Caenorhabditis elegans: one gene and its partner. The protein of the gene in region 2 interacts with the protein of the main gene of each other region in a biochemical or structural test. Each region holds a gene or a part of one and is shown on either strand. Other genes may lie near its edges.

Region 1 (5,264 bases), on a different chromosome or scaffold from region 2:
GGAAATGTATATAATAATTGCAACTTGTATGAACCAAAAATCCAAACTCTGAGTTTTTGTGATTTGATTTTCAATTGAATTGTAATTTTTTAGAAAAAGTTTTATGAGAAAAGTGAGATATCTAAAGTGATAAATGTTTTTGATAGACCTCTACTCAAATATGGATCAGCGTAGAAATCAATTTCAAAACAAAAAATCTGCCCTACAAAAAGTATTATTGTGTTTTTCTAGAAATCATGGTCTTCAATAAATTTCGCTTTGGATTATTTCTACAGACTTTGAAATAAGCAAATATAAAAAGTAAAAAAAAACACCAAGGAAAGAAAACTCACCTTCGATTTTTTTCGCGGGCGTGTCATAAAAACTCTGTTTTGTAACCGTAATCCAATTATTATTCGGAAATAAAAAAATTCTCGGCAGTTCAGAATAGGCAAACAAAGTAAAAAATTGATTTTTTAAAAAAAAGTTTTTAATGAAAAATAACTTTTAAAAGTTTCAATTCAGCCAAAGTTGGTACATGCCTATTTGTTGAAATAATAAAAATTGAAAAAAAAATCTTATTGTTAATAGAAAAAAAAAAATATTGCACCTGTTAAATGAAAAGAAGCGGAGAAATATGAAAGCGAGATGAATGTCTTAACTAGACAAGGAAAACGACAAAATATGCTGATATGTGGTGTGAGTATTCTTTGGAGCGGAAGGAAGAAAAGAAGAAGAAGACGAAGAGAGGAATAAAAATTAAAAGTTCAAATAATCATTTACTCGAAGATAGTTATTATTTCGTACATCTTGTATAATGAGAAAAAAGAAAAGTACAAAAAAATTCAGAAAATGAAACACCAAAAAAAAAGGCAAGATATGGGAGGAGCATATTTTAAGAAAATACTTATTATCAAAATTGTTTTTCTAACAATTGTGTGATGCATGTATTAGACTCCGCCCATATCTTGGTTATGTATCGTGTTTTTGCATGTTCGTACTTGACTTCTACATAGTTCCAAATACGAATAAACGCAGAAACCAACACATAAAAAAATCATTTTTTGTTGAAAATAACCGTGACTCAAGAAGTTTCAGGTAAGAAGAGTGTTAGGAGATCGATGATTGTCGATTCGGCAGCAGCTGATTTTTCAATATCCGCATTCGAAAAAAAGTGAGACGTCACTACTTGGACTATTTTTAATTGATTATTCAGTTAGCTAAGTACGTCGAAATTTCAGGTTCATTAATTGAAAAATCATAAGGTTCACAAACATTGGAATCAGAGTGCTCCGCCAGTCATACTTTTGGCTATTTTCGTCGATTACCCTAGTTTAATAGAATTTTCGAATTTTTGGCTATTTTTGGCTATATTTTGCTATAATAAAATGAACAACAAAATTTCACGAAAAAATGATTGAAAACGAGTGAAATCAACGAAACTGAATGAAAATTTTGGAAAAATAATACATTTACGTATTTTCCGCAAATACCTAACGAGACCCAAATTATCGGGGCGGAGTCTTTCTATTTGGCGTTGGAGCGCGATTGCATTCTGATTTCAAAAGATGCGTTATTCACAAGTGAAAAATGAAACTTTAATTTTCTTAATCAGACAAAAAATGTGAGATTTTTGAAGAAATCGGAGAAAACGGTTCAGCAATTAGCATGAGTTCTCAAATAAAAATGTGTTCTCAGAAATCTCGAAAGAAAATAAAAAAATTAGAAAATTCTAGTTGTATAACTAAATTATAGCCAAAGTACCACATCATCGAAACCTATAATTACACCGCCCGCGCTTAATCGGTAAAAGTTCCCTGTAATTTAAAAATTTAATTTAATTTTTTGTTGTCCAGAATGACATCTTGTGAAATATGCTTTGTTTGAGAAAAACAACTTTTTGAAAATGTCCCCGCACCACTTACTGAAAAAATTATAAGTTTTCGAGGACTTAAAAAGGGCACAAGAAGTGCTTGAAATTGTTGGAGCACGTGAATTTCAAAAACCTCATGTTTTGAAATTTCAAGTGTACTCAGTACTAAGCTTAGTTGTTATTTTTCCTTTTGGGACTATAAAGTCGCACGGTGTGATAAAATAATCCTAAAGAAAATCGAAATTTTCTTGTCGCTTTTAAATTTTATTTTTTTTTTTTTCTCAAAAATCTAAAAATGCAAATGAACCTCAACGAAAAGAAGCAGCTGCTCCGAGTGCGAGTCTACGCGACATCTGAAAAAGGAGAAAATCTCGGGAGGTACTAATTGAGTTGTTGTAGATATATTGAGAAAGATGGAGAACGAGAAAAGAAAATAAATTTATGTTGAATGAATGGGGTTAGACGATTGGGAATAATAGAGTTCGCGAAACAAAAACTACATGAAAAATTGGTTGACAAGTTATTTCACTTTTTAAAATTTCTAGTAAATGTGATGAGATCCTTTATTTGACAGACAGACGAGATGATTGAAAGAAGGACGGGAAAATCAGTAGTTGATCAGTGATTCCGAAGACTTGCTTCTTTTTCAATCTTTTGCTGCTTCTCAGCTCTAATTTTTGCCTCCATCATTCCCTGGATCCAGTAGTGTTCCTTCACCTGTAATAATTTAATGAATTATGATAATTAAGAACACTACAAAAGTGTACTTCTGTGTGCTGATAATATGTTGGCCACTAAGCTGAAATCAATAACAAACCTGTTCAAGCGTACAGCGAGCCTTGGGATCAACGACAAGCAATCTTCCAATCAAATCTCGTGCACCCTTCTTCACAGAATCAGGGTAAGTAAACCGTGCCGCTTTGATTGCCGCATATGTCTTGGACTGATCTTCGTGCTCGAATGGGGGTTTTCCAACGAGAAACTCATAGCAGAGAACGCCGATTGCCCATAAGTCAACTGCGTCACTGTGATCGGCTCCATTCACCATTTCAGGAGGGAGATAGTCCATTGTTCCGCACATTGTTTGGCGCCTGAAAACATGACAGTGAATTTTTGGAAACATCTAGATTTCCTAAATTTGAGGATAAACTCACTTATTCGAAGGAGCATGAACACTCCATCCAAAATCTCCAATTTTCAATTCTCCTTGTGATCCGATAAGCAAATTCTCCGGTTTAATGTCGCGATGAATCACATTTTTCCTGTGGCAATATGACAAAGCATCTGCGATCTCATACATATATTTTGCAGCTGTTGGCTCTGAGAATCTCTTGCTCACTGTCAATTGCTTGTACATTTCGCCTCCGGGGGCATATTCCAAAACGAGATAGATCTTCTTCGCATCCCAAAAATATGTGTAGAGCTTGATAATATTCGGGTGATTCAAATGAGATTGAATCTCAATTTCACGCTCCAATTGATGCTCGACGCCTCCTGAGATGAGTTGCGATTTGAATAGAACCTGAAAATATGTATGGGTAAAACGGATGTCAGAAAAATGATAATTCAAATAAATACAAAATAAATCAATATGTTACCTTGATCGCTACATGGAAATGTCCAGTTTTTGTGCGAGCCAGGTAAACACTGCCGAATTTTCCTTTTCCCAGTGGTCTTCCGATCTCGAAATCGTTAATAGTAAATTTTCTGTAAAATCAAGAATAATTTATAAACTTTTAAAACCTTGATTTCTTACCCTCCCTTCTGTGGAGTATTCACAGTTTCCTTCTCTGGAAGGTTGATTACAGGTGGCTTATTCTCCATGTCGGAACTGAAAAGTTTTTTATGAAGAAATAAAATAGACGGCACGATTAAGGACAAATTAACTAAAAGAAAACATCACGATAAATTTATAAATTGAATTAATTAGAAGTTCAATGGCCCAATTTTTAATTGAATACATTTAGATATTTATGTAGAATAAAAATAGGACTAATTCTGCTTTGATTTCAAAAAAAAGTGAGAAATCAACACATTACCTGAGTAAATATGTTTACAAAAAACGAGTTTTGATTGCAAATAATTCTAAAGAAACTAAAAATTGTCAGCTGGATAGTAAGGAGAAATGCAAGCCGTTTAAATAAAAAATTAACGCGGCAAAATGCAATGGTCCGCAATATGTCGTCATGTACGGTGTAAATGCGTACTTGGCCCTGTGCCAGGCCCGTTTATCCTGCTTTTTTGTTTGTTTTAAATTAAATTAAATTGTATTTATATATTTTTGTTCTTCTTAAATGTTTTCCTATCAAAACAATCCGTAGAAAATTAAGATTCAACTAGAAAATTTCAGTACTCATTGGACTATGTACGGAGTTCTTGTAATTGGAGCTCCTGGAGCTGGAAAATCTACATTTTGTGCAGGATTAACGGACATTTTCTCACAAACCAAACGACCATTTCTCACTATCAATCTTGATCCTGCTAATGACACAATGGCATACGCACCTGATGTAAATATCACTGTAAGTATTTTATTCCAATGAATATAGGACAATAATTATGAAACGTGGTACAGATCATCTATCAATGTTATTTTAATACTTAAGGTCATATTTTTCATTTAAAATACTAAAGTTTAGGAAATGATCACTGTGAATGATGTAATGGATCGACTTGGACTTGGACCAAATGGAGCTCTCAAATACTGTATTGAAACACTTGGAGCTAATTGTAATTGGCTCCTCCAGGTAATTTTTTTGGCAGAAAAAGTTAATTCTCAAAAGCTAAAAATTGTTTTCACAACAATTGAGCTAAAATCTGGAATTCTCTAAATTTGAATCGAGAAAATCGGAAATCATTTTTAACCTCTTTGTAGTTTTAATATTCAATTAAATCTTTTTTCAGAAAATCGAAGCGAATCACAAGAAATATCTGATAATTGATTGTCCCGGACAGTTGGAACTATACAAAAGCGAAGGCGAACTATGGAAAGTTATCCGCTTTTTGGAAAAATCCGGTGTTAGACTATGTGCCTTACATCTTGCCGATTCACTTTACTGCAGTGACCCATCGAAATTCATTTCTGTTGCATTATCCACATTAGGTAAGAGTTCATTAAGATTAAAAAAAAATTGAAATACTTTTCTTGTCTCTCGACCCGAAATTTCCAAATATAATTCAGCTGATTTCCTCCAAAAAATGAAAATTTATTTTTGTTCTGTACAATTTTGAAACTCCATGGGCCTTTATGTATTTCTGGCTAAGAAATGCAATATCTTTCTGGCACATAAAACTTTCATTTAATCTGAAACCTATTTTTGTTATTTATTTGATTTTAGATGGAAAAAATTGAAATTCGGAACCACTTTAAATTTTGTGTGGCTGAAAGGAACAAATTAAAATTATATTCATT
Region 2 (8,157 bases):
TTGTATTGCGCGTTGTTCGGTGTCAGATGCAGTTTTAATGTATGAAGTTTAATATTTATTACTTTCTTATTTGAGAAGTGAATTTTTAGTTTTAGTAATGGACTCAAAATGATCTAAAATTTCGAAATTCCACAAAAAAATCAAGAAAGATCCAACTTTCGCTTTGCGGTTCTCATTTTAAAGCGAATTCGAACAATTCGCCGAAATCTTTTTAAAAAATCGGTTTTTTAAAAGTTGGATTTTTCAATCTTTCTCTACTTTTTTTCGTTGTTTCTGATAGTGAATCTGAGACTAATTGTTTTAAAAGCAAAGTCACATGTCACACTCCTCCATTTTTAAATTTCTTCAGGGCTCACAGATAAGTAGATTTTTTTTAATGTGACGTCACACGCGTCCTTGAAATTATGGCGGCACTCGGTACTGGGTACAAAAAAGCATTCAAATATTTTTCCCGCCATTTTTCAAAATATTGGAGTCGCTTTCAAGGTCAGTCACATCTATAAAATGGGCGGAGCTAATACGTTTACATAAATTAGTTTCATTGTGTATCATTTTTTGGAATTATAGGTTTTTACAAATTTTTAAAAAGTTTCTTCCTCGAACCGTCTATAAAAGAATATACAAAAAAAAACATAGAATCGAGCAAAAAAGTTGGCATTGAGAAAAAAATAGGGTAGTAGTAGTGCATTATTCTCTGAAATCAGAGCAGTCTCTAACTTTTCCATCTCGTCTATCTGCACCGTCCGTACGGAGCATGATGTCTCTTGCCTCCTGTTGCGGTCGTCCGGTCCTGAATGGCTACTTGGATGCTGCTGCAACTCCGTCTGCGCCTATTCTTCGCTTCTTCATCTATCGTCTCTCGTTCACTTGCGCTCACTTGCTAAATGATGGCCGATTGCAATGTATAACCTTCGTTGATCATCGTCTCTTCGCTCGTCACGCTCTCTGTTTTTTGTCTCCCACTAGGCCTTTGCCTCCTACTCTCCCAATTCACATTTATACACGACACAAGATGATTTGGCGCCTTTTTTTTTCAAAAAATGTATTTTTTTTGTTTCTACGATCCATCACCCATCGCCGATACAAATTTTTTTCTATTGGAAGTGTATTATAATTTGATTGTAGTTTTAGATTCGACATGCATTTTTTGAAAAAAAAAACTTGCTTCGCTTTTTTTTTAAAAAAGAGTTTCGTTTTCACTGTTCTCTTCTTCTTTTCGAAATACTCCGTAGTTTTCCTCTCAAAAATTTTCATTCGCTAACTCTACAGTACCACAATTTCAAATCGCATAGTTTCGCGCGCGCGCAGGTCTCGCCACGAACACAGTTAGTGAAGAGTCTCATGCAAAAACAAGCACATATAGTTCATTTTGTCTACCGCCCCAAGAGTCGTTGTTTTCGATTTTTTTTGCGTCGTCTCTTCTACTTTTTCATTCCTCGATCAAAAGAGAAGAAGTGTGGGTTTCTGTGACGCAGGAGGAGATGGCATTGTTGGCCGTATGTTCCTTATGATTTGTATCGATTAGTGTGTGTATGTGTGTGAAAGCAGTCAATGAAACAACGTTGCCCTCTAGGCCCCGCCCATTTTGCCCTGTCGTTATTTATTGTCCATCGTGTTACTTTCCTAGTTAATAATCATGTTTCAGTGATGACGGAGGTTTGAATAATAGTTATTTTAAAACATTTGAATTTAACTGACGTACTTATAATTTCAAAGAGAGTAGATTTTGCGGATTGTTTGTTGAATAAATAAAAAAAATGGCCCAAAATTCTCTCAAAAATAAAAAAAAATGTTATGCACGAGAGAAAATTCGAAAAAAAGGAGCCAGATTTTTGAACATTTTTCCGTTAAAATTTTTTCAAAATTCTGTTTTTTGAGACAGTTTTAGTCAATTTGAGTGAAAAATCTCCACGAACTACTCCTAATTGAAATTTCAATTCCATTTTGTTGACAGTTAACTTTATTTTAAACGTATTATTTATTTTTCTCTTCTTTGTTTCTCAATAGTCATAAATAAAACAAATTTTTATCGGTCGGAAAAAAGTTGATAAGTGATGATTTCGATGGCTTTAGAAATGGAGTGCCAAACACGCGAAGAAAAAGATGTTCTCGTGGTCGCCCCTTCCTCCTTCCTTCCGTCGGTTTCTATCCGTTTCTCCTCATTTGTTATCATCTTTTTCAGTTAAATTTGTGAGCGCAAAGCGGCAAGAAGTTGATGTCCTTCGACACCGCGCTCTCCGTTCTTCATCTTCACCACTCTGTGCCTCTTTTTTCTATGTTTCTCTTCGTCTTACACGCTCTCTCACTCTCACCTCGCCGGGCACTACGTACAGATGGTTCTTTTTTGTCCCGTTCGCTATTTCATTTTTTGTATATTTGAAAAAATCTATTTAACGTTTTCCACAATTTAAATTGTTCTATATTTTTCTTTAAAACTTTTTGAATCACATTTTAAATTAGACTATCTTAAGTGCGGGAATTAAATTTCTATAGCAACCGTAATCGTACGTGTCATCTGAATTTCTAGTCAACTACTACGTCGTCTAAGTTTAACGTTTTTGTTTGTGCCACGATAGTCGTTGTGTGGTTCTGCCGCCTTGTTTTTTTTTGGAGGCAAAAAGATTTTTTCTAGATGGGCGATGGGAGGGCACGAGAATACAAAGGTTCTATTGCTATATGGATGATGGTCATGTGACGGAGGAAGTTTTCGCACACTTTCTCTCACATTTGAACTATTTTATACACTTACTTCGAAACATTGATTTTTTAGAACTTCTATTAAAATTATATTGAGTAGTTTCCAAAATAAAAGTGGCACTGTTTCCTATTTATTATCAATTTTTCTTTAATGTTTTACTTTTTTCGAAATTTTGAAATGACAGAGTTTCTGCGTGATGGTGGTGAACATCGGCCGCGGCCACGACCGCGACGCAGCTGCGAGCGGACCGGTTCAAACAAAAAAGTTTGTTTTATTTTGTTTTTCGCCCAGACCGCATGATTTATCATGAAAATTAAAAATTGCGTGTTTTCAATTAAAAAATATAATTTTTTTGAGCCGCTCCTCTCGCAGCTGTGTCGCGGCAGAGGTTCACACCCCACTTGCAGAAAGTCTATCATTTCAAAATATATGAAACTGTGAAAGTCCATCTGTTTGCACAATCTTTGTTTCTTTTTTGTCCTTCTTCCTCTCAAAATTGTTTAAATGATTTTTTTAACAAATTCAATTTTTTTCAGAACCTCCTCGGATCGAATCGTTAATCAAGAAAGACTCTCTTCTTGACAAATTCATCCCATTGGGTTGTGCCTATCGATCTGTCACTGACACCGTCATCGTCGTCTTCACAACAACAATGTCGATGTTGTCAATGGACGGTATCGTCGCAGGAGGCGGAAGCAGCAGTGGTGGCGGAGAACGAAGTTTCGTATTAGAGCAAAAGATGTTCAATACGGGCCCACAGAACAAAGCTTTACCAACGGTATGTTCATTTCATTGATTCACTGCCAATCTATAGTGTTAGTTGTTGACTTGAATTCTACTTTATGTGTGGTACGCGAAGGGAATCGTAAATCATTCGGTGTAGGCGTGATGACTGCACACTCACACTGTCAACCTGTGTGAACCGACACACATGGATCAGGCAATCTCTTCTTTAACCCCACAAAACACTCTTTGACACACAAATAACGCGCACGGACTGACTGCCACGACATTGCATACGCACACGGCGGAGACGCTCACTCCTCTTCCAACACATCCGCACTCACACGCACTCACATTCACTTAAACAACACAAAACGCTAACCAACCGTCGTCGAAAGCGACTCGGTGTTTGGCTTGGCCCCTGGACTGCTTTCTTCTTCTTTCTCCCCATCCCCGTCGTCGTCGGTTGTGAACAGGGCAAACGGCGACGACAATGCGGACGTCGTTGGCTAAACCAATTTTTCTCATTCGGGTCCCTCTTCTTCCGTCAATTCATAAATCTCTCTGTCAATCTCACATTAAACAGTTGCGAGAGGAAAAACCAAATTTGTAGTTTTCGGGTTATGTGTCTTTCAAATTATCGCAGCGTTAGGTTTTTTTTTTTTTTTTTTTTTTAATTTTAATTTTCAGTTCTGAACTTTTTCTTATTCCCCATCCCTCACAGATTCAGTTCACTTCTCGTCATGAACTTCTCAAGAAAACGGATAATTTAGTCATCTCAAAGCTGTCACTCGTTGAGCAATTCTTTCTTCTTTTGCATCACCTCCGAAATTGGAATTCTTGTTTTTTTCTTGGCAATTTTTGCATTGAATCTCCGTTCACTCATGGTTGCTGGCTACTTTGAAGATTCGTCATCTCGTACATTTTAAAAAGATTCCGGAACTTTCTGAGACAACTACCCAAAAATTACAACTCATGGTTTCTCTCACGTTAAAAGCTTTTCCGGATAGCAGCTGCCCCGTACACCTGTCGAGGATGATGGTGATACTGTATTATTGTCAATGACACATGGTCACAAATCATTGCTATTCACCTTGTGAGAAGGACAAAGTGGGAATTTATGGAAAGTATGTGATGATAAGAATTATGTGGGATTGTCGGCTTGATAATTTGTTGGAGAGAAGCAAAAACGAAAAAGAATGCCGATCCCGTTCCTAGTTTTCTGTATATACATTCAATACATGATAGAAACAGCGAGACGATATGATGTTGTCGTTTTCCTATTTATCTCCTCATTCTATCCCAGTCTATCGATTCTAATGTGTATCTATCGGTTTATTTGTGTTCTTTTTGCAGTGTCTCCACCCCCACCTATGATTTCTTCTTCTTTTCTATCCGCACTCTGCGTCTTTTCCATTTTCTTCTTCCTCCTCGTTCGCTGTTGCTGCATGGTTCACGAGTTTTTTTTTGAAAATGACTGCTCTTCACAACATTTATACCAGCTTTCTTGCCTAAAAGGTGTAGAAAATATAACATTAGAACTGTGTCTCTTCATCACAGAAACACACTTCTTCTCGCATTCTCTACGTCTCTTTGCACCTAGTGTACTCGTCTGCGGTCGTTTTCCTTCGTTCGTCCAATGGTTCGTTCATCGGCTTTTCTTTGTTTTTTTCTCTGTCAAACAGATGTATTCTGGAGTGAAGGAAGAGCCTGAAGATGAAAAAGAGTGCTCTTACTCGTCGCCTTAAGCAAAGTAGGGCGCCGGGCGACAACGACGTCTTTATCCATTCTCTATGCTCCGAGTGCGTATTTCGTTTCCGCTCTCATACTCGTGTGGGTCCTAAAGAGGAGGAGCCGTCGCCGAGACATCGCCTTCCTATTCAACACATTTTTTTTGCGTAGCATGGTGTAGCGATGGTGGTTGTTTGGGAGGGGCGGGAAAAGGGTCCGTCTCAGTTGCCCCTCCTGGTGTGTGTGTTTCGACCTCTTCGATTCATTTGCCTCCTCTCTTCGCCGTTTCTTTGCCTCCTCTTCGCTCCTCGTTTCCGACTTGATATATTTCGCTTTATGCGATCGTGTCGCGCGTTTTTTTTCTTTTGCAATCCATTCGGATGGTCATGGTTTTTACAAATAAAAGTTGATATTTTCCACATACAAAGTACTCTCGTCTCCTTTCTACTTCGAACCAACTAACTACCATCATCCATTGCCCGTCATCACATGTGTGTTTACCGTTATCAAACACCAAAGAGGAAGGCCGAATTGCAATATGGTTGGCTTTGCTATGTGCTGCTCCTACCACTGCTCATTTGTTTTGTCGCCCTTCCAATCGATTTGAACACCTCCTCCCCCTTTCATTTTTATTTATATCCTATATAAGGCTCTGATTGTTGGTTGTTTCGACGCACATGTGTTTTCCCTGTTGAGTATAATTAGTTGGCCGGGTGACGTATATGTGAGCCTTTCGGACATCTTCTGCTGTTTGTGTGTATGTGTGTGAAGACATTTAGCTTTTGCTGCCACTCTCAAATAACTACAAATCTGGTTCCCTTTGCTTGGGTTTTGGTTTCACTTTCTATTGGCCCCCGCTCAATACTTCTCTGTTCATGTGGTCGCATCTTGATGTCCCCACCTCGACCGACGCATGCATCGATTCAATTTTGCCTCTATCACGCGCCTACTCCGAATTTCAGCAGCCCGCTGCAACCACTACGGATAATGGCGTGTGCTTCATTGAGGTGTTGAAAGCGCAAACAGCGCTCTTGACAAAAAGGCGGTCTCCTCCTCCTTCTCGTTCCACTCTATACTCTTACTTTCTTTTCGTCTACCCTCCCGTTGCTCCTTTCCGTCTCGATTCCTCGCATGTGCGTTTTTTTTTGTTCTGTCCTCCCTCTTGTGTTGATCCGAACAATTTTCATTTTTTGTGGCGGCGATTTGCGAGAAATATGTCTCCGACTCTGGGGGATTGCATACTCTTCTTCCAACCTTTCGCTTGATGTTTTATATGTTTTATATGTATTCCTCTCCGATCCCTTGCACACCTATAAACTGTAAAACTTTTTCGAATCGATTGCAAATTGAGAAATGATATGTGATGGTGAGATGCGTAGTGCTTTTTTTGTCTTGCTTTCCATGTCATACCGACCACTGTGTTGCTTGCAGCCATCATGATGCGTCGTCTCTGGGTTAGTAGTAGCAGAGTGTGGTGAGAGAGAGAAAAGGGTTGATTTGATGGCGAGATGAGAGTATTCAACACACACGGAAATAAAAGAGGAATATGTAGAAGATGTTGAGTTGTTGGAGGCAGGCGAAACAGAGACATACACAAAACAAAATGATTATTGGACTTTGTGACTGCTCCTGCTGCTGCTCTTTTCTACCTCCACTTCTAGTTCTTCTTCTTTTTTGTCTTTTCATATTCATTTTCCTTTTCGGCTTTGTGTTTTGCTCACTTTTGTTGTTCTTGTTTCTTATTGATTGGGATAAAAATATTGATGATCACCATTAGTAAGATTACAACGTACATAAATGTGCCACCAGTCTGTCGCTTTAGTACTTCTTATCAGTTTTACGAGAGTTTTCTTTTTTTTTCAATTCGAATTTCATAGTAGAAATATGAAACTCTTTCTGCTAAATGAGAGCTAAATAAGTTCACCGGAAAAACTCTGGCGTCCGCGCCATGTCCCTTTTCACGGCTGTCGTCGTCGCCCCGGGATCTCTGATTCTCTCAACTTTTTGTGTGCTCCTTGTGTCCCTCGCCGTCTTGTGTCTCTTGTGATAGCATGTTGTTTATGCGCGCGTTGCACTCATCATCAGAGACAGATTTTAATAGATTTCGTGGCCCGCGTCCCCCCTCTATTGAGCACACTCTCCTCTACTGCTGCTTTTCTGGAGCCGTGTGTGTGTGTGTGCGTCCTCTCCTAATTTGGCATAATATCTAATCCAGGGAACTGACTGGGGGCAATGTTCTTTCTTTTTCCTCACCGCCGCCTTTTCTTTTCTTTTTCTCATCCTCTTCTTCTACTTCTTCCTTGTTTTCCCCTATCCATAGTGTTGTCATCTCCGCTGTCGTCCTCTCTACTTATTCGTCGTTTTCTTCTCCTTTTTTTTGGTTTTGCTGGGTTAGACCAGATGCAGAGTGTATGTATTTGTATGTCTCTCTCATCGCTCTCTTCGTTTTTTGTCATCTCTAGACACTACTGTCGCCTGTTCTCTTTTTCTCTATCGTCATTCGGAGCGTTCATATGTATTTTCTCCCTGTATATAATTTAAAAGTAAGCGCGTTGAGATGGGAGAATGAGATTCCGAGTGGTGGTTCGCTCACGTTTTTTAATGAATCAGGACTTGCTGTTGGTAGTGTAAAATGATTATTGAGATGAGAAAAATAAATAGATAAACTTGTGATGCTTCTTGATTGGGCACACTTCCTTGATCTATAATTTCTTTCTTGGTTCAGGAGGCAGAAATTGTCTCCAGCGAGAATCGTTTTCCGAAATTGTCATGCTGGCCTCCTGCTTTGTGATGATGACGTCATACGGTGTCCTACCAATGTGCTCGCCTTTCCTTCTTCTTCTTCTTCATCGCCTTCTTTTCTCTTTTATTTTCTCTTTGTAGAATATGTGTATTTGGGTTGTGCTCTGGTTTCTCTGTCGTCTTGCATCTCTCTCTCACACATTCCGAAATGGGTTTCGAGTGTGTGCGAGTTTTGATTTCAAACTGTTGTTGTTGAGACGTCA

Evidence for each region. Proteins that work in one complex are often made in the same cells at the same time.
Region 1: of the proteins of tlk-1 (region 2) and air-2, one has a biochemical effect on the other in vitro, tested with the Caenorhabditis elegans proteins (one study listed by BioGRID).

The regions. Positions count from the first base shown.
Region 1 is NC_003279.8:5,935,896-5,941,159, reverse strand, and holds air-2 (Aurora/IPL1-related protein kinase 2), read right to left. Parts: upstream 3,684-5,264; 5' UTR 3,677-3,683; coding exon 3,609-3,676; intron 3,560-3,608; coding exon 3,451-3,559; intron 3,375-3,450; coding exon 3,007-3,374; intron 2,944-3,006; coding exon 2,670-2,943; intron 2,570-2,669; coding exon 2,471-2,569; 3' UTR 2,284-2,470; downstream 1-2,283. Other genes in the region: B0207.6 (GPN-loop GTPase 2), read left to right, coding at 4,216-4,374, 4,492-4,599, 4,757-4,955. UniProt on the Caenorhabditis elegans protein: Serine/threonine-protein kinase component of the chromosomal passenger complex (CPC), a complex that acts as a key regulator of chromosome segregation and cytokinesis.
Region 2 is NC_003281.10:9,696,644-9,704,800, forward strand, and holds the start of tlk-1 (Serine/threonine-protein kinase tousled-like 1), read left to right. Parts: upstream 1-3,350; coding exon 3,351-3,476; intron 3,477-8,157. UniProt on the Caenorhabditis elegans protein: Essential for appropriate transcription during embryonic development. May act during transcription elongation to activate the RNA polymerase II large subunit (ama-1) by phosphorylating the Ser-2 residues of the C-terminal domain 7-residue repeats.